Oryzias latipes: one gene and its partners. The protein of the gene in region 1 purifies or fractionates together with the protein of each later gene. This does not show direct contact. Links are inferred from orthologs where the notes say so. Each region holds a gene or a part of one and is shown in the gene's direction. Other genes may lie near its edges. The genes, in order: E3 ubiquitin-protein ligase XIAP, ras-related C3 botulinum toxin substrate 1, map3k7 and siva1.

Region 1 (5,571 bases):
GTTTACTTTCAAATCTTATTGTCATCAGAGAGTTGTGATTCATGATTCCTCCTTAGATTTCTCAAAATGCTATTTAAAGGGCTTGAGGATTTTAACCATCATCTAGAATTCTGATTTACAGTACAAACCCAAATACTGTAAAAAAAAAAAAAAGAAGTGAAAGTTTTTTTTTTTTTTGCATTTACATGGGGTGTTGGGAGATGGCATACTACATGCCAGCCGTTTCATTCAGTAATTTTAGTTTCACTGTTTGGTTTCGCCTACACGTTCCGCATTTTGTTTTTACGAGAAATGTATGGTATCCCACTCAGACAGGTTAGGTGTGTGAAAGGGAAATATTTGAATTCATAACTGACATGTGGTTGATGTGTTCATCTCTGTAGGTTGCCTCATTGTGATAGAAAAATGGAGCAAACCACTCTAGAACTGGGCATTTTGGATTTCATGACAAGAATGGAGGGCACTCAATCACATCTTTTTTCCTTTAGAACCCCCTTTTTTTTTAAATAATAAAAGAAAATAAAAATTTTCCAATTGTGTGACCGTTTTTGTTTTTGTCAGATCAAAATAAAATATGATGAAAAGAAAGGTTGTCCATGGTTGTCTTGATTTTTGTGTTGGATAAAGAAATGGGGAAAGAGGCCAGGAGGTGAAGCCGGCTGAGGCCTATTGAGCGTTAGAGTTACTATCCAGGATGAAACATCCAAGATCCACGAATAGAAGCACAAGGCTCCAACCGACAGTGTGTCCTGTGAATGCCCCAAGCAATGGAAAGCAGAGGATGCGATACATTTTATCTTGGGAGGACCATGGGATGTTCTACTGATATCGCAACCAAATGACTGGAGCCTACAGGTACATCTGTGCAGAATTTGGAGTGGAAACCCCAAGGTCACAAATGGGAAAGCACCTCTAAAAGTGGCAGAGAATGAGAGAGCTAAGATCCTGTGGGACTCCCAGATCCAAACTGACAAGATGGTCATGGAGAACCAACCAGACACTGTAGAGGTGGACAAAGAAAAGAGGAAAGTCTGGAAGAACTGGAGAAAGCTTTAAGGTTAATTTGACGGTGGTGCCTGTGGTTATCCGATCACTCAGGACAGTAACCCCTAAGGTGGAGGAGTGGCTGTAATGTTAGAAATGACCAGAAGAGTGGCTAAAGCAGATCCCTGGAGAAACATCTCAGTCCAGAAAGGTTCAGTCCTAGGAAAGATACTGCACAGAACCCTCAAGCTCCCAGGCCTCTAGTAGAGGACCCAAGCTTGGGTGAGAAACTTGCGGGGGTGTGAAAAGAGTGTTTAATTTATACCATGTAATTCCCCATTAACCCACATCAAATAAGGGGAAGTTGGATGCTTGCCTTGTCACCTAAACAGCAAGTCTCACTCAGCATGGGGGTTTCTTACCAAACTGCACAGAAACTTCGTACTTTCCCTTTTTCACTGCTTCTTGAAGTGAATTCATCAAATTGTGTTTGGTGGCTTCAACTTTTTTTCTAGTGGTTTACCTGTACTTTTCTGTATTTTTTTTAACCAAAGAAATGTCACTGAAGATTTGTTTGAACAAATGGATGTTTATTAAAACCCTATTTATGACTTCTGCCTAATACTATTCCCCTATTCCACATTGGTTATGTTTTGGAAGCTGTTTAAAATGTTTTATTTTTTATTTCATGTGACCAAATGTAAATATATCTAAAGTTGTATAGTTTGGATGCTGCGTGTCTGACAGGGCAGCCTCACAGCCGGCTGAACTTAAAATGACTCAGAACACACTGAAATTTGAACCACTGTCCCACCAACTTTTCAGAAGTTAAAGTGTGATCTTAAAGAAAACTGCATCCTTCATAATAAAAGCATAGACTAAAACCCACTTCAAAATATGTGGCATTTTGTATTCTTGCTCCAAACGTTGAAAAACAGAAAAAAAGCTAAATTTGAATAAATTAATCATATAAATGTCGCATTTGCTTTGAGACATAAGGGACACATTTATAAATGTTTTTTACTCATTTAGTTTCTTTTGTCGACAGTGTATTTTACTGATTTTAAACAGCATATTTGTAAGGGAAACCCCCCCTGGGAAGAAAAAAAAAACCTAGAGATTTGCTTAAAAGTCGCTTTTCGGGACTGCGTGGTTTTTTTTCTCTCTCTTTTTTTTTTCAAATCTACGTTTCAACACATACTGCATAAGTTACAAAAACATATCTTTCTTTAGCAATAACATCTTCGGGCTTGAGCTGTTAAGCATGTTGAAATTTTTCTGTTTAAGTGACAATGTTTTATATTTTTTTCCATAACGAAACTGAAACAGAACCTCTGGAATCTTCTCATTGAACCCCCACTTTCTTTGCGTAATCGACGATGCGCATGCGCATTGTCAAAGACTACGCTGTTCTTACTTCCTGACTTTGGGAGGTCACGCCAAAGGAATTCTTCTACGCCGATTTCCTTCACAGGGCGATCTCATCAAGGACCTTTTCAAACCACGAACCGAAGACCTCCCTACACGAGCAAAGAAATGCAAGTATTTTATGTTTTTAGAGCCGCTGGTAAAGTAATCGCGCGCTTAGCGAACAAGGCTAACTAGCTAGCTAGTCAAATGTTACATGAAATGTAAACAAACTATAGTTACAGCAAAGGTACGCACTTTTAAATAATAATTTGACTCCTTATGTAAGATTCCTTTATCCACTGTAAAACACCAGCAGTTGTCTTTTTTCTTTTATATTAATTTTTAATCCGTGATGTGTAGCCCTTTAAATGATGTGGGTGGAATCTTTGTGAACAGAGCAAAGTATGCAGTTGATAGTTCGTAGAAACACAACAATGACGGCATACGCATTTGTCGCTCACTGGGCGGTTAGAGATGTTAATTTCAGTTTTGCTGTCGCAAAGACAGCAAAACTGTCTTTGCGACAGCATATTTACTGTAGTAAATATGGCCGTTAGCTTTTGATTTGATCACTTGATCACTGAGGCAGAAAAACGTGACAGTGCAAAGATCACATGCAGTCCTCCACCACCAGCAGATAAAATCCCATGTCACAGCTAAATGTGCACCAAATAGTTCCACGTACAGCGTGTTTGTCAGAAGGAGTAATGCAGCATATGACTGTCCTAATGTGTGGCAACAATATCACACAAGAGTCTCAACCTCCTGTAGAAAACAGTGATTGTTTTTGACTGTGCTGCTAGTACATTTCTGGATAATCTAACAAACATATGTGGCAGATCGCTGAAACCTATTAACAGTGTTCCAACATTGTGTTTTGATGAATCAATGATCTGATTAGCTCTTTAAGAATGGTGAACAGTACATCTGCTACACCCTTTGGCATATAAGTTAACTACAGGAGCCGCCCTCGTGCCCATCCCTTGTGCCTTCACTAAAACATTCATTTTTTCAACTGATATCCATCTGGTTTCCTGAGTTACCGGCTTAAAAGAACTTTAAAGAGCCTAGCTATGTGGACAGATTATGACTATGAATGGAATGGACATTCCATACCATTCTATCTACACACACTCTCAAAAAATGTCCAACTGAAAGATATTTGACTTCTACTTTCTGTTTTTGACAAATAATTTCCTCTGGGAGGTGACTAGGCTTGAATAAAAGTCATCACACCTTTAGTATGTGTCATGAATAAGAATTGCATGAAACACAGGCGTGCTGATGCAATGTTTATTAGCACGATGTGATGTCAAAGGTGGACATAAAGATAGGGAAGCTGGTTAACTTCCAGAATACTTTATATTTTTGACAAATCTGAATGACTGAGGAGGACTGAAGCTAGCAGGAGAACATGGCAACAGAGAGCCCTCGGCAACATGGAGAGAAGCGGCGTTGCTCCATGCCAACAGTCCAGCCAACAACTCAGAGGCGAATTTCTAATGATCTACTGCTGCTCTGCAGAAAAATCTGGGCACTTTTTTGGACAAAAATGGCATAGTGGTAATTAGAAGACCCCTGGGAACACTTTAAAAATGGCTCAAAAGATGATCGGAGTAGGTCTTTAAGTAAAAAAAAAGAGATTCCCCCATGATCTATTATTCAAGGTTCTACACTTCTAACTCAAACCTTTTTCATGTTTCTTTTCTTTTAGATTTTGTGTTTACCGCCACAGCTACTTGTTTCAATGATGTGTGACCCCAGCCAAGATGGGAATTGGGAATCGGACTCCACAATTGATTACTCTAAGATAAACAATCGTCTGGAATCTTTCTACAACTCCAGCTGGAGCAAGAAGGTGTCACCGCTGCAACTGGCTGAAGCTGGCTTCCTCTTCACTGGAGTCTCTGACCGCGTACGCTGCTTCAGTTGCCAGAAAACGGTAGAAAACTGGTCCCAGGAAGATCAACCAGTGGACAGACACATACAGGTAATTGTTTATGTTGAAAAAAAAAATAGTTTAGAAATGTTGGGCAATTCTTTTTCAACTTTTTAAATAATAAAGTTCAACATTTTCCTTCCATGCAGGTTTCCCCATCGTGCACGTTTCTCCGCTGCACACACTTCAACCGTTTTAAGTCAAATCCCCATATGCCCCTCAGCAATGGGGGCCTTCATGATGGAACTGAAGGATATATAGATTACCAGTTGAGAACAAGAGCCATTGTTGATGAGACTCCATATCCACGGAACCGGAATATGAAAAGCGAAGAAGCCCGCCTGGAAACTTTCTCTTCGTGGCCGCGTTCTGCTCCAGTCAGACCTCGAGATTTGGCTCAGGCAGGTTTGTTCTACTTAGGAAAGGAGGATAAAGTGGAGTGTTTCAGTTGTGGAGGCAAGCTAAGTGGCTGGAAACCTGGGGACACCCCCTGGAACGAGCATGAAAAACATTTTTCCCACTGCTTCTACATCCTTGGTCATGACGTGGGAAATGTGCCTCTGGAAAGAGATGGAGGAGAAAATGAAGAGACTGGCAGCAGAAACCAACATCGCACACCTGTCAATTTGGAAAATCTTGACGAGCGACTCGGCACTTTTGCACGCGTCCAGCACCCGATTGACCACGAGCTGCTTGCTAAAGCTGGCTTCTACAGCAAAGGTAAAGCATGTTTGTTCAAACATCCCCTTTACAAATGAGATGTACCGGTAATATTTTAATTTTTCTAAATCTAAATGTTTGTTCATAATATTTTTTTATTATTATTCTAGGAGAAGGAGACGAAGTGATCTGTTTCAGATGTGGTGGTGGTTTGAAAGATTGGGACCCTGAGGACAATCCTTGGGAAGAACATGCCAAATATTATCCTGGGTAAAAACCTCCAGCTTTGCTTTTTCCCATAAAAGAAGGATTATGTATTCGTATAACCCTTGTGCTATCCTATGGGGTCAAGATGGCCATTGACGTGTTCTCCCTACATGACAAAGGTGGACAAAGGTGGAAAGATTTCATGTAATCCATAGACACCAGTGAAGATCACAAATCATTGAAGAAAAAAGGTTCAGCTCACTGTCTAGTGGGTCTAGATGACCCAACTCCCAACGTTAACGTGCCTAGGATAGCACAAGGGATGTAAGTGTATTTATGTATGTATCTTACATCCTTTTTTTTAAATTCCA
Region 2 (5,805 bases), on another chromosome or scaffold:
AACAGTGTAAGTAATAATGATTTCATTTCTCCAGTCGTACTGAGACACAGAATCACAAAAGATGAACTTGTTAATGAGAAGAAAGCAGTGTAACATTTCTGCTTATCCTGTACATGCAAGACTTCCAGTCTAAGCGTCTCAAATTCCCTTCAAATATCTGTAAAAAACAAAAACATGTACCGCTTGTATAAGTAATCTCAACCTCACGTAAAGTGTCAGAGCCACAAACAGGCTTGTTTATATCCTGTTGTGAAGATAAACCTTTCTAAGAGGAAAGCAAAGTGCATCCAGATTTTGGCTGTGACCTGAGACACGTCGGATAAATGAGCGTACAAGCAAGAGACAATCATCTGATTTCATTCTCAATTTCTTGTTTCGTCGCTGTCAGTGAGAGAGAACAGGGCAGTCTTCACAGTTTAAACTGGATCAGTAACTACGAGGCTTATTTCCAATCCACATCCATGAGTCAGTTCTCACCGGGTTCTCCGTTTCCGCACATCATGACCACCTTTGACCGGCAAAGGCAGCACATCTCTGTGAGGCGAACTGATGAGGAGAGAAGAAGACACGTCACTTTACTGCATTGAGACACCAGCTTGATGATAATGATGGTATTTTATTTCGGACGCATACTTTAAAAGGAAAAGTAGGGGAAGATTAAAAAAAGAAATATTTGATGCAACCAATATACACTCATATAACTACACATAAACAAATATATTAATAGAAACATACACGCAGGGGAAAATCTGACCCACATTTGGCATGATTAAACCCCAACACATCCAAGTGGATCCCTGCTGGATTCAAATTTATAGTTTGGTTGTGTTTTGTATATATACATCTCTATCAATAATAACATTTCTATAGTTAGTCCTAAACTTCTATCTGTTTGGACATTGTTCCAAATTTAAACTTCTGTTCCAAGTTTGATTGTAAGAAATCACTGTCAGCCCATCTTGAGCATGGGAGGTCTTACCGTTCACTTCTTAAAGTCCAAAGGTTTGCATTAAAGACTCAATGGATTTCTATATGGACCTGTAAAAAGACAAAAACGTCACATTTTCCATTTTGCACATTCAAAGGACAAGGAAAAAAGCTGATATACTACATTTCTGTGGTATAAAAGTATCAATTATTGCTAATATTTCATATTTAAGATTGAAAAAATCTATTTTGTTGTTTCCCCTGACTGATTACACATTACAGACTACTGTTTTTTATTTTAGATCAGATACAAACACTAAATATGGGTGAATATGAACTTGTTTCACTATTGATCAAATGTCAGTAAATTATTTTTCCGATTAACAGATGATTTTCATGAACCCAGTTTTATGGGACAGCACGTAGTAGAGATTATATATCAATTTAACCTGGGATTAACTGACTATAAGAACAAAGGTTCCCTATCGAGGCCCCCCAACAGCTGTTGTTGGCATGGTGACAAGCTCACCGTGACCGTCAGTCTGAAAATAGTGTGTAAACATTTACCTGTAATCTGACGTTAAACACCATTGAGGCTACCAAGTAAAAGTAGGGGAATCGTATTCTCAGCCGCCATGCGAGATCAAAAAATATCAACAAAGTCCTCGTCAAGCCTTTGGAGAATAGTCCGTAAGTCCGACCAGCGGAGCCCGAAAACCGGAGCACCAGATACGAAAGACTCGCCATAAAAGCCCAACCCTGAGCGCTGTGTTCTTGGCTTACAAAGGCAACAGGCAAGGGGACGCTACAATGGCTGCAAGTGTTGGATGAAGCTCCATTCTTCTATCTTTCACCCTCAACGAGCTCCGTCTTTTGCTGCCGTTGTACTGGCATCTACTCCACCCTGTTAGTTTTCTACCGAGGACAGACATCGCTGCGACACACGGAAGTGCAGTAAAACCAGGATTAAATAAAACCCCGAGTAAAGACTGAAAGGACTTCCAGATCTGGGTGGTGGCTAAGGAAAAAAAAAACACGTCCTAGACACAACTACTATGGTTCTCATAAAACTAAACAAACAGAAACATAGAAGAGGTTTTTTGAGTTACTAAATATGTATATATGTTGTTTTTGCACCATTACAAAACCAGGTAAATTGGTTTGTTTTCCAGAAGTTCACTACACAAAAAATCTTGAACTGAAGCAAAGTACTACAGACTTTTTGGAAATACAATGACCAACTAATCATTGATTGTGTTACATTTTTGAAGCTAAATATCTTTGTCGTATTAGAATAGGCACACATTGACTTTTTTTTTCTTTTACTACTTTATTTTTTAATACAGTGCATGTTTGCTGGTATGGTATAATTGAATTTATCGTGGTGTAGGGGTGGGAGAGCAAGCTATCCTTCCATCTCCAAAAAAACTTTTTCAGCCTGAAAGGCATAATTCAGGGAAATTAAACAACACACCAAAAATTCCATTGTAATCGTAAATGAACCGTAGACGCGTCAAAACTGACGTCAGTTCCACCCTAGGTGTCACACCGTAAATATTCCGTCTTCGACGATTTCTTTTATTTTGTTTTCATTAAACCAAAATGTAATATTTTAGTTTTCAAATGTTATTTATATATAACTTTAAGCTTTATATTTAAGACCAGAGTAGCTGACCCTTTTTTTTACTACTAGTTTGAGGCTATCTTTTCTTTGGTTAAGGTGTCTGTGGGCGTGCGCCGGATGCCCTATCTTGTAGAGCTGGCTTCATTTTTTTTTCTCTTTAGCTATAGGGGTGGTGGCCGCTGTTTTGCTCCATAACTCATAGAGCAGCTCACGAAAGCATGGGAATGTTGCCAGGGAATTTCTGAGTTTAGTTGACCTAAAGTCCGAATTGAGTCGCCGCAACTTTATTTTCTAACAAGCCGTTCTCCGTTTAGAAAGTTTTGAGTTAGCGCGGTCGACTGTTAGCAAAGACTGTTGGGTAGTTTCACTTGAGAGGAGTTGCGGACAAAGGACAAGCTATCCGAGCTAACGTTAACTGGCTCTGGGCTAACTTAGCATTCCTGTAGCTGCGGCGCAATGCAGGCCATAAAGTGTGTCGTTGTTGGAGACGGGTAAGTTGAACCTAACTAAACTCACTGTGATATTTAACATTTAATCGACAGTTTTGGTATCAAACCCTGAAACCGCCAGTGATGTCGAAAAGTTGTCATTCGACATAAATGTTGCGTCTTATTTTTGGAGTTGTAAAGTTAGCCAAGTTATCGGTTAAATATTGGACTTTCAAGTTCTTTTCTTTTTTTTTCGAAATGTACAACATTTTGTATTGCATTTGTTTTTCCCCTGATATTACCGTTCTGGATCCAATGTTCCAGATTTTTTTATTTATTTACGCCAAAATCAGTGAATAGAGTTAGATTGATCTTAGATTTGTTTTGAAGTTATTTTTGAACAAAATGGGCAAAAATTATATGTACTTTTTCGAAGAGTTGAAATTTGTTTCTTCTTCTGTTGTATTGACACGGGCGTGTTTTTGTGTTACACAATAGTTAAATTAGTAGGTTTAGTTTGCAATATTTTAAAGACAGGATTGTCAATGAGCTAATATTGAAAGTCTGACTGATGTGTAATATGCTAGAGGTAAACACACTTGTAACGTCTTGTCGAGGGTGCGGCTGGTCCCACCGCAGCGGAGTCGTCCCTCGACCTCTCCGACTTTTGTTTTGTTTTCCGTTCCGACTTGAAGAAACTCTAAGGCACCAGTTCTCTTTAAAGTTTCAAAAGTTTAAAATATCTGCTTACTCATCAACTAGCCTGGAAGAGAAAAAAAAACCTTATTTCCTGAAATCAGTGCACTCATTCTATCAGGAGTGCTTCAATAAAACTGACATTACCTACGAGATGATAATAAATGATTAACTGGCAATTATTGATTTTTGATATTGGATTATTTTGATCCTGCTTTTATCCTACGGATGATAATGTGACTCTCAGACTTCCTCCTTTCAGTTTGTTAAAAACCAAACTTTGCGTAGTGTCCACATTTAACTTGAAACTATATTTTTAATGGTTGTAATTATTTCAAGTAACTTTGATGTTATTAAATAAAATGCTTGGACTGTTTTTAGCTTTGTAAATGTAAAATAATCGAACAACTTAAGCCTGACTTTAATGACAGCTTGTATATGTTTTATTTTCCTGAATTCTGAACATAACATTTCTCTTATTCAGTGCTGTGGGTAAGACATGTCTACTCATCAGCTACACCACCAATGCCTTTCCAGGAGAGTACATCCCCACAGTGTGAGTGTTTATTTATTCATAATGGCTAAGCTGTCTGTCATTCTTCTTCTGGACAGTTGTTGCTTAACTGTGTCTTTGTTTCATTTCTTCAACTGGTCTTATGGGGGAATATTAGTTTCCTTGTACATAAGAAGTCACTTTCTTTTTTAACAGGCAGCTGTTTGGGTTCAGAGAAGCATTTGTTATGTAAAATTACCAGAAGTGCAACCAGCTAGTTTATTTTCTTAGTTGTGGGATCTGTGGCTTTTTGGGAATTTGTCACTCAAAACACTTTGGTTCATTCTGATTATTTATAAATGTACATTCTGCTTTTATTCTGATTCAAGAACAAGCTGAAAACATGTACTGCTGATGAACAAGGCTTTGATTTTTGACCCCCAAAAAACCTGTTTGATTTATCTAATGATCATAGAAATTCAGAAATATGTAGCAAGGCTTGAATGACATAACTGAGTTTTTATGAATGCTTGATTCTCACAGGTTTGATAACTACTCTGCCAATGTTATGGTGGATGGGAAGCCGGTGAACCTGGGCCTTTGGGATACAGCTGGACAAGAAGACTACGACAGACTCCGCCCACTTTCTTACCCACAGACGGTACAATGACAAAAATAGTCAGACAAGGTGTTATTTAGTTGATAACTTTTATAAATAATTAATTGGGAGCATTTGTGGTATTCAAATGTAGAAGAGGGTTTTAAAGAAAGTTAAACAGACCACCTTAGCGATAGGTTATTTATTTTTATTTATTTTTTGCTCAACAGGAAATGAATTTCATGGACTCTGAACCTTTTTTGTCTTTGTCTTACAGGATGTGTTCCTCATCTGCTTCTCTCTTGTGAGTCCGGCCTCATTTGAAAACGTCCGTGCCAAGGTTAGTGGTGCCTGAGCAAAAAACACTAATAATACAGATGTGAACACGTTGACTTTTTTAATGTTGGTAATTAAAATACAGACCTGTGTTTTTTCATATACAGTTTATTTTTATTTTTTTGTAAAAAAAAAAAAAGTGTATTTAAAGAACAATTTCAAGAGATGTGTACTATTGATTGGCTTTTTATGTAGAAAACTGGCCCAAAACACATACATTTTATTCATATCTAAGGCTACATTTTTACTATTCCCCAATCTTCTTACTTTTTGTGTTTCTTACACTTTTTTGTTAAATATTTAAAACATCCAGCATTAACAGTAAAGTTGGATCCCAATTAAAGACACCAGCATAGCCGCGAGCATCATGGCTCTTATGTTTTGGAGAGATAGAAACGCACAGGAAACTGCACTTTCCCGAGTGGCGTAGTTTTTGTTTATCTTTCACAAAACAGGAGTGCTGCTTTTTAAGCTTATTAAGGGGGGGTAAAAAACTTTTTATCCTTAAATTGTTGCAGTTATGCAATCGGAAATATCTTTTTGTTAAAATGATTTTGTGTTTTTGTGTAGTGGTACCCAGAGGTGAGACACCACTGTCCCAACACTCCCATTATCCTGGTGGGCACCAAGTTGGATCTAAGAGATGACAAGGAAACTACGGAGAAGCTGAAGGAGAAGAAACTCTCCCCCATCACTTATCCCC
Region 3 (4,959 bases), on another chromosome or scaffold:
TTCAAATTCAGTGTCACATTTTATTCTGCACTTTTGAAGATGCAACAACAGGTAAACTGACATCACCATCGCTGTCATGACAGTACAAATAAGTAAAGAAAACGGATGGAAATTTATCTTTGTGACACCAAATAGGTGCAGCCAAGATGCACAACAAGCGTGTTTGAGATCACCCAGGTGAACTCAACGCTGCGCAGATCACCTGGTGTGTGACATATATTTGTTTTTGCTCCAACATTAACTGTCAATCATCGCAAAAATATCGCGAGAAAGGGGTGGGGCAAGGGGCAAACCTACCCAGACACAGCTGAAAACTGAACTGACTGAAAGCTGCCCTACAGACTACAAAACAATGCATTATGGGACATGTGTCCTGATGGTTTTTGTAGTGGAGGGATTAATTAAAATAATTTAAAATACCAATTCATTAAAAAAGGCTACATACATTACAAAACATTCAAATAATCATAAAATATATAATAACACAGATCATACTAAGGGGGAGAAGAATATTAAATCTAAATTGAATGTTAAGGACAGCTCCAATTTCCTGTTCTCCTTCAGTCTTGCTGCAGATTCGCTTTCATCTCACAGCCCCCCCCCGCCTGGTCTCCCCAACGATCCAGGCGAGGTGCTGGTTCATCTCAAACACGTCTATCGTTGCATTTTCCCCACGTATTTTCAGTGTGTCTAAAACTAATGTTGTTTTTGCTCGAGCGTGTTTAAAGTTCAAGCCCCGTTAGCTGTCACGCATGTACGTCGGGGGCATTTATTCTCCTCAGCTGACCCGACTCCCGCGGGACGGGAGCGGTGTGCTGCCGTAACCCGTATGATGCGCCGCCGTAACCGTAACCAAAACCTAAACCTTCCTCCGGATCTGTGTGACCCAGAGAAAAGTTCAGCACGGACTGCATGTATTTAGAAAATTACGAGCGAATAGATACGTTCTAGAAAGGAAAGTAAAGAACTCCTTAATGTGGTCCGGGGAGGGGGCTGTCAGGTTTCCTGCTTGCAAAACCCTGTCATTGCCACGCCCCCAAGAGTCATATACCCCACTGTGATTGGTTGGTCAGCTCTAGGCCCCTCCCCCTACACGCATTTTAGCCACTCACAGTGACTTTTCCTATTCTTCTCAGACGCAGTGGCCGCCTAACACACAGGCATCACGCGAGAGTGTTCGTGCTTGCGTTTCATGAGTATGTGCGCGAGTGTGTGTGCCTGCCTGCGTGCGTGTGCGCTCGCGTCTCATTGATTATTTCATAGATCATTGACGTGCCCCTTCCACGTTTAATGTATAAAAAAATACGAAGGGTGGGGGAGGCAAATTTACTGCTCGCACATGTGCGACTGGATGTAAAATTTAGTCGCACACTCTCAAATTTTGGTCGCAAAATGCGACCAATTGCTCGCAGTCTGGAGCCCTGAATCCTACAAATATTTAGAAGGAGATATGAAACAAGAACATTTGTAACAAGTTACTTTGATTATTATCTCAACCATAGGTCTTAAACTATGTTCATGAAAAATCTATGGAAATGTGCGTTTCTGCGTTCTGCGTTCAAAACTTGTGCATTTGCACGCAGCTCAAATGTTTCTACGACCGGTTTTGGGCTCATCATACAAAACACGTGGCCATTGAACAAGCGCTGAAAACTAAACTAGGTTGAATTTGTCAGACGTGGTAGTAACCTATGTATGGGGACTTTTCAGTTTCTTGAATTTTCAGTTTAAAAATTGATCATGGAGGATAAATTAATATTTGCTGGAGTGAAACTAAGCCAAATCTTTCATATATTGGAATAGAGCTGTGAAAGAAAAAGCCTGGAGGAAGAGTCAGGACATTTGCTCCGCTTCTACATTCCACATCAAGCCTCTTCCAACTGTAGGTGGTGGACAAGTGTTAGTAAAAAAAAGAGAAAACGATAAAGAAGAAGCCCCTCCCTGCTTGTCCAATGTGAAAACCCACATTTTCACATGCCTGGTGTGTCCAGAGCTTTAAGCATTTAGTGCAGGGGTCCCCAAATCCAGACCTCTCCTACATGTTTTCTAACCAACCTGCCATTGAAGCTCCATATTGGCTAAACAAGGTATCAAGGTAGTCAGCAGCAAATAAGGCAGGGTTTCTGGAAAACCAGCAGGACACCGGCCCTCACGGTCTGGATTTGGGGGCCACTGATTTGGTGGATGAAGTCCTCCGATTCAATTCAATTCAATTCAATTTTATTTGTATAGCCCAAAATCACAACAACAGTCGTCTCGATGGGCTTAAGTGAAACATGAACTCAAAAGGATCACGAATACAAAGAGTTCAATAGCAAAATACTAAAATGAACTAACAAACTGACTAAACTATACTGGCATCCCTGCCCTTAGACCCCCCTTCGCGGTAAGGAAAAACTCCCAAAAAACCGGATTCCGGAAAAACGAAGAAACCTCAGGGGTGTCCACATGAAGGAGGGATCCTCCCCCAGGACGGACAGGCGATTTACCAGAACTCAAAGAGAAGAATTTACTTATCTAAATCTACAACTACACATTTAAAGTCCAGCAGACGAGCTTCATCCAGCCGACGGCGGATCCCCTACAGAGTTTTTATTCAGAAGAAAAGGGGACTTTCCAAAGTCTCAGGAAGTCTCATGGCGGTTTGTTTGTGTCTTGAGCAGGAAGGAGCTCATCGCTGAACTGGACCAAGACGAGAAGGACCAGCAGAACACGTCCCGTCTGGTGCAGGAGCACAAGAAGCTGCTGGAGGAGAACAAGAGTCTGTCCACCTACTACCAGAAGTGCAAGAAGCAGCTGGAGCTGATCCGGGTGCAGCAGCAGAAGAGGCAGGGCACTTCCTGATGAAACGGAGACACGCCCACTCCCCTCCCCCCTGCACTCTCAACACTACCCCCCCCCCCCGGCCTGGCTCCATCCAGAGCCCCTCCAGGAAGACTTCTCAAAGGAGTTTGCACTTCCTCACAGCCTCTCTGGGACGTGAAGTTCACATGAAAACCAGTTCCCCACCATCCTCACAGCCCCTCCTGGTTTAACCGCCCTGTAGATTTTTGTGTGTAGATGTTTTATCCCTGAATCTGCTGGAGGATCTGCTCAGCTCTCCTTTTAGTTCACATGTTGCCTTAGCGGTCGGCTGAAGTTCAGGTCGGATCATGTCTGACAGAGGAGCTACGGAGACTTTCCTTCTTCATACCCGACGGAGGTGACGACATTCTTTTAGATGATCATCATGTTTCTCACCAGCTTTAGATCCAACTCTGTTGTTTTTGCACAGTTACTACGTTTAGACGACTTTTATTGCTATTTAAACTTTTTGGTTTTAAAAGAAAACTTGAGGAGTCTGGACTGTACGGCCCGGTTGGTGACCTGGCGTTGGCGCTCCTCCGCCTGCGAGCGCATCGTAGGCGATGGAGGTGCGGACTGACTGCAGCCGAGGCTCACCTGTGGGGTGAATGTCCTGCTGCTCCCACACCGCGTGAATGTTTCAGGTTCAGACAGGGTTCGGTCTGAGCCAAAGACGCTGCATCCCCCAGCTGTTGGCCCCGCCCCCATCTTCTGGACGTGACCTGGATGCTGGGATCAGACGTGTGGTTCTTTGCATTACAAGATGTGATCCTGGTGTGTTTAGTGTGAATAAAAGCAGCATAGAGGTGCATTCAAGCTCTGCTCAGCTGCACTGTAAAGCCCAGTTCTGTACATTTTTGCTGATTCAAAAGCTGTTTCTGCTTCATGAACGCTGAAGTTTGGCCTTTTGTCTTGATCCTCCACATGTCCTCAGCAATAGAGAAGTGAAATGTTCTGCACACGTGCAAAGATGACAACTATGTAGGAAGACTAGCGCCACCATGTGGGAGTCCTAAACCTTTAACAGCTGTTGGTCGGTGGAAAAGGATGTTTCATCACTTAATTCTTCAATCCCTGTGTTTGTAGAGCTCTTCTCATCAACAGGCCTTAGTCCACAAGGTGCTAAACACAAAGGATGTATAGAAAAATGACAAAACCTACAAGCAACAACAACCAAAAGAGCAACAGCAAATAGAAGGAAAGCTGTGGCTAATAGAGATAAACCAGAAAATTTTCAAGGCAAAATAAGAAATGTTGAACATTCCTGACAGTCCCACAAATCTCCTTAGTCAGTTGTTGGAATTCCTTTTCAGAATATAGATGGCTGTTCAATTCTGCTAACTTTTCTTTAAAATGCTATGCAAATGAGGTGGGAGGGGCCTCACAGCGTGTCAAGAGAACAGAGGTGCATCCCCAAAACCAGCAGATGATGCAGGAAAGGCTGTGATTGGCCTCCAGCGGTTGAGTAGGGATCGGACAATAGGTGGCAGTGCTACTGAGTCTGACACTATGACAGAACTATCAGGTTACAACAGTGGAGACTTTTGGTCGGGTCTTCTAAATCTGAAATCCTTTGCTCTGATTTTCTTCGGTTTAACCTTTTAGTGCCCAAATCTTTGAAACGGCAGCAAGTCATAAAACTCCAGCTGCAGTTTTTGCATCATTGTTCAAAATGTTTTTTTTTTATTGTTTTATTTATTTATTTTTTTTTTTTAACTTGTCCTGTCCAACAGCTAGGCAAACAGATGAGAGCTGAGGGCCTCTTGTGTTGGACATATTTTATTTTAACAAGAGGGGTTATTCATCTTCAGACAAACCAAAGGTATGTCTGAATAAACCCCTTTTGTAATTGAGGCCAAACTTTATTAATTTCAATCATGTTTGAAAATCTTTGGTGTTGGACCGGACGGAAAAGGAAAGAGGGGAAGAAGAGAGAGGGACGTTAGAGAGAGGGGGGGGTAGGAGGGTGATAATAGGAGGGGAAGGGGGGTAAGACCATGAAGCAGCATAGAGCAGACAGGTTTACTGGTTGTTTATCGTTACGGTACGGTTCAAATGTAGTACAAAAAGGGCGGGGCCTGTTCACACACACTCAAATATTATCAACACACCTGC
Region 4 (4,915 bases), on another chromosome or scaffold:
GCAGGATTTCGTTAGAAATTCACCTTTGAGTTGTTTGCGTGACTGTGGGTGCGGAGTAAGCTCGTCCCTACTTCCTGTCATCCATCTGTTTACACGCTGTCCCTTTAAGAATGGCAAGCAATGGTGGTGCTATCCAGCCACAGGCCAAATCCCAATTGCGTCTCTACCTTTGCAGCTTCTCCCTATCCCTACATTTATCCCTTCAAGCGGAGAGATATTTGGATGTTACAATTCCCTGATGACGTCATCAATAGTCGCCGGTCATGCAAGTCAAGCAAGAACAAAACCTCAACACAAATTCCAAAAGACGGATGTATTCAACAAAAACCTTATTTTCACATCTCCCTTGGTAACTAGCCTGCATATAAGGTGCAACTAAGCTGTAAAAATGTTTGTTTAACAAAGCTTTTGTTTTGTGAGCTGCTGCTAGTTTTAGCATCTTGTAGAGAGAAACACTTCTCGCGCTAAACGGTCTGTTTCAGGTGTTGAAATGAATTTGTTGTACTCCCACTTTTAATAGCAACAGCCTTCAAATGCATTGTGCAGCATGCGTTTTGTGCTCAAAGTCTTAAGCCACAAAACCGAGACAGTTCCATATAAATGAAGAAACTGTGACTGTTTTGGGAACAAGCCTCTCTTTAGTTGTGCATCTGCGTGCAGCGAGAAGCGGGCATGCTGACCTTGCTCCGAGCAACGGAAGCCCTAGAAAGCAGAGTGCTGGGAAAATAAAATCCAGAATTTCCCAAGAACTAATCTTCTTAAATAACAAATTCGACTTTATCAATAAAAATCGATTTCTTGTCCAACCCCAATTGAGAAAAGTACTCAAACACAATTTTAAGCTCACTTTTCCTTAAATATTTTCCCCATCATGAGAAAAACATGTTTTGTAATTAGATGGATCTTTGAAGCAGTATCATATTGCCTCCCATTTTTATTTCTGCTTATGTTTAATATCCTGCCATCACAATAACCTGCAGCTGGTAGTTAAGTCATTTACTTTTTGTTGCTCTATCACCTTAGCTTCATAGAAAAGTGACCCTTAAAAGCTATTAAACTTTTTGTTGACATATGACAAAGTTTTTTCTATAGCAGTCGTTCTTTTCAATGTTAGTTTATTTTCTGTCAGCTTGAGTCTCTGCCTTTTTGCCCTTATTTGTACGCTTAAAGCCGGTGACCTAACAGTTTCTAATAGTGTTGTAGAATCTAGAGGCCTTCTTTTTAATCGTTTGATGGTTCCAGTTTTGCACGCTACTGCCTCCTTGTGGCTAGAGTTACACATTACCACCTGGAGTAGGTAACGGGTTCGTAGTTTTAACATACAGGATCGAAGCTGCTCCGGTTCTTTGTTGTTACTTTAAGATTTTTTACATGTTTTTTTTTTCATCGTTGATTAATTAAATTAATCATTTTTTCATCTTAAACTGGGATTTAGACATTTTTAGTTTGATTAGCTAAATTCTTGGGTTTAAAAAAAAAATTAATGTCCACCAAAACAAGAACATGTTTTAATTCTTTTTCCCTGTGCAGATGTTTTAATTGTTTGACAAAAGCTTAAACTTCTTGGGTTTTAGGCCCCTTGGATCACATTAACCCTTGTGCTGTTCTAGGCACTTTAACATTGGGAGTTGGGTCATCTAGACCCACTAGACAGTGCACTGAACCTTTTTTCTTCAATGATTTGTGATCTTCTCTGGTGTCCATGGATTACATGAAATCCTCTTCACCTTTATCCACCTTTGTCATGGTAGGAGGAACACGTCAATGTAAGGGTGGGGTCATCCAAGATAGCACGAGGGTTCAAAGGATTTGGTTCACTTAATACTTTCCACCAGCAGGTGGCAGAGTTCATACAAGTTTGCCCACCTTATCAGACTAACTTCACTGCTTTGCTAAAGGCTCATGTTTGTGACTTGTCCAGGTAACCCAGTGGGTCCCACAGGTTGCTGTGTGTGTCAGAAGAGCCAGGGACCCAGGACGCCGTGTTCTCAGTGTGATCGACTGGCGTGTTCATCCTGTGTCCGACAGTGCTCCAACTGCTGCAGCTTATGCTGCTCTGTCTGCACCATCTTAGAGTAAGTTGAAAACTTGAAACTAAACTCTGTTCACCCGTCTCTATACAAAAGCCCGTTAAACTTTGATTGAAAGCCTCTTTACAGTTATTGTGCCTCATTGTTGTAACAAATGTTCATTTTAATCAAAAATCTATTAAGTAAAAAGCAATTTGTTTCTGCAAGTCTGCCACTCCTAAATTACTGTCATATTGATATTCACCTGTTGACTCCTGCTGATTAAATGACAGCCAGAGTGTTTTTCAAAGCCTTAAAGAGCCACTAGATTATTCTTATCATGCGATCAAAAATTGGGCCCAATCATGTCGTTTCAGACTTGATCGGAATTGAATGTTGAATCCCGATCATAATCAGATATTCATTTTATCCTCATTATTATGATCAGTGCCATATATTGGAATCTTATTACAACAGATATATTTTCTGCGCTTGGCCCATGTTCACAATGTTTTCTAGTGCATGTCTGCCCCCTTCATTGAAAGAGGCTTGGTGTGAAATGTCAATGGTGCAAATCTGGTGAATCTTGCTCCAGGCTTTTTCCTTCACAGCTCTGTTCCGATACACGAAAGACCTGGTGTCATAGAATTCCTGCTTCCTTAAAACACAAATATTCATTTCTCTTCCATGGTCATTTTTCATACAGTCGGCCTCTTCTGTGAATGAAAAGGGACGCCAACGATACTTCACTTTTACATCTAAGGCCCTGATTGCTCAACGTTTGACCTGGTTTAACTTTCAACGCTCGTTCATTTGCTACACATGTTTTTTACATGGAGGCTAAAAACGGCCGTAGAAACTTGCACAGCGATGCGTGAACGCCAGGGTCATGAACTTCATTGGAACTGGCCGCTTGAACCTGAGTTGCAGAGTGTGGTGTGAACGTAGCTTTAAGATCATTGGATGTTGGTTGGAAAAGCTCGTGAATGTAAACGATCCTTCAGGTTTGGTTCAAAGACTTACAAATATGTTTCTGTCAATATAAGTAAACCCCTGATTGATTTGAAATGAAACCTAAAGAAGGTTGCTTTAACTTTAATGCATTTCCATTAAAAATGAACCAGGACAGTGTTTTTTCTTTTGGTTTTATCCTAAATAATGCATGTTGGAGATTCTATTTACTTATGGAGTTTAGTCATATTGGTTGACGTCAAATCCTTCGATCTGTCAAACCGTTGGTGCTCACTCACAGCTGCCACGACATGAAACATGCAGTAAAAACCAAAATCAGCAATAACTAATAATTAACTCATAATTACTCAAATGAACACAGTTTTCCATTTTTATTAAGAATAAATAGAATTTCTTTAAACAACTGGTCCTCCCATCCTATTTTAAGATTTAGGTATCTTGATCAATCTTCCTGTCTTCCCTTAAGGGTATTGTTTTATTTCTGTTTTTTTCCATAATTTTCTTTTGACTACAACATTTCTTGAATCCAAACTAAAGAGGATGAAGCTTCACACAGGAGGAAGCATACTTTAGAAGCTGAAAGTGGGACTCTTCGCTTTCAGTCAACTGTAGTTAAAGTTTTTTGTTGTTTTTATACATTCCTAATCATAAATCACATTGAATTAATGAAGAGGCTGTTTGAATCATAACGTGAGGAATCTTTCATGTGTTGCAGTTACAGCGGGCGGTACGATGAAGTACTCTGCTGCGGCTGCTCTACGTAAAGGAAGACCAAAGGCTGGAACACAAATGTATATTTAAACACTGTAATTGCATTAATTGATATTTTATACCCTTTTTTTCTTAATTCATGTTTATGTAAATATTGTCATTTGAAGGTTTGATTGAATAAACTTGAACCCTTTTTAGAAACGTTTTTGTGATTGTGGTTTTGTATTGTCTATTTTACCTTTTAATAGACACACAAATATAGAAAAAGGAGCTCAACATGGAGCTAGAAGGTTTGGGATGACTGCACAGCGGCAGGAGGTCGCGCCCTCCATACTCGGTGGAGGAATAAACCACCCAAACTTAGAAAGTATTCCTAATCCACTCCTTGAATGTACCAAAGAACAACATCTGACTCCTTGTATTCTGACTGACACTGATAATCAAATTGCAGCTTGTCCACACTGACCTTGTACATCTACTATCAAATGTATTTCAAATAAAACAAGTGCTGAGCGGTAAAGCAGGCTGCAGTCATCCCTGCTGGACGTGACCTTTGGGTGGAGTCATCTCTTTCAGTTGGCTGCTGCTCATCGCAGACGACGATCCGTTTCAGGGTCAGATGCTGAACGCTCTGAGTAATAGTTCTTCATGGCAAAGGTCCACAACGGGACTTTAGAAAAGTCTCGTCTTGTGACACTGTTATGGATACGGGCTGGGATGAGTGAGTGCATGTGAGCTTTTTAGTCACATCGGCTGCTCAGCGGCCCAGTTGTGGCCCCCGTCTTTTGGGAGCTCTTGCAGTTGGTGGCCCAGGGCACCGCTTGATTTCTGCTTGAGTGAGCAGACAGCTGCTGGCAAAGGGTGGCGTCAGGTTGTCTGCACATTACCCGATAAGACTCATGAATACGGAATACTTGAAAGAAAAACATTTATTGTTGAAGTCTGAACAGTTGATGTCATGGCCGCAAGAAACGCCGCGACTGATGCTGATCAGATGGAAGAAATCACAGTTCCTGCAACTTCTCATTTAGTCTTCGACCAAGCGCCCGTCTCTTCTCCTTACAGAGCTTTGAAGAAAACAGAGTTGTCAGGCTTTTCCGTGCATATTTATCCATGCAACTTAAAGGTCATGTTGTACTTTTCTTGCCAAGAATGCTCCTCAACTCCCCCTTGCTACATGTGTGTCTGTAGGGGGGTGGGGGGTGCAGATAATCACCCACGGC

Evidence for each region.
Region 2: the proteins of E3 ubiquitin-protein ligase XIAP (region 1) and ras-related C3 botulinum toxin substrate 1 purify together in Homo sapiens (affinity purification with western blotting; 3 studies listed by BioGRID and IntAct, with this or other methods). This does not show direct contact. The link is inferred for Oryzias latipes from reciprocal best matches to the Homo sapiens genes XIAP and RAC1.
Region 3: the proteins of E3 ubiquitin-protein ligase XIAP (region 1) and map3k7 purify together in Homo sapiens (affinity purification with western blotting; 3 studies listed by BioGRID). This does not show direct contact. The link is inferred for Oryzias latipes from reciprocal best matches to the Homo sapiens genes XIAP and MAP3K7.
Region 4: the proteins of E3 ubiquitin-protein ligase XIAP (region 1) and siva1 purify together in Homo sapiens (affinity purification with western blotting; 3 studies listed by BioGRID). This does not show direct contact. The link is inferred for Oryzias latipes from reciprocal best matches to the Homo sapiens genes XIAP and SIVA1.

The regions. Positions count from the first base shown.
Region 1 is NC_019868.2:22,021,731-22,027,301, forward strand, and holds the start of E3 ubiquitin-protein ligase XIAP, read left to right. Parts: upstream 1-2,371; 5' UTR 2,372-2,522; intron 2,523-4,108; 5' UTR 4,109-4,141; coding exon 4,142-4,384; intron 4,385-4,482; coding exon 4,483-5,053; intron 5,054-5,163; coding exon 5,164-5,263; intron 5,264-5,571. Other genes in the region: E3 ubiquitin-protein ligase XIAP, read left to right, coding at 384-398.
Region 2 is NC_019866.2:11,732,292-11,738,096, reverse strand, and holds the start of ras-related C3 botulinum toxin substrate 1, read left to right. Parts: upstream 1-2,459; 5' UTR 2,460-3,007; coding exon 3,008-3,042; intron 3,043-4,159; coding exon 4,160-4,231; intron 4,232-4,711; coding exon 4,712-4,829; intron 4,830-5,043; coding exon 5,044-5,106; intron 5,107-5,672; coding exon 5,673-5,805. UniProt on the Homo sapiens protein: Plasma membrane-associated small GTPase which cycles between active GTP-bound and inactive GDP-bound states.
Region 3 is NC_019882.2:20,574,230-20,579,188, reverse strand, and holds the end of map3k7 (mitogen-activated protein kinase kinase kinase 7), read left to right. Parts: intron 1-2,663; coding exon 2,664-2,844; 3' UTR 2,845-3,734; downstream 3,735-4,959. UniProt on the Homo sapiens protein: Serine/threonine kinase which acts as an essential component of the MAP kinase signal transduction pathway. Plays an important role in the cascades of cellular responses evoked by changes in the environment.
Region 4 is NC_019880.2:14,647,041-14,651,955, forward strand, and holds the end of siva1 (apoptosis regulatory protein Siva), read left to right. Parts: intron 1-1,921; coding exon 1,922-2,075; intron 2,076-3,696; coding exon 3,697-3,745; 3' UTR 3,746-3,897; downstream 3,898-4,915. UniProt on the Homo sapiens protein: Induces CD27-mediated apoptosis. Inhibits BCL2L1 isoform Bcl-x(L) anti-apoptotic activity. Inhibits activation of NF-kappa-B and promotes T-cell receptor-mediated apoptosis.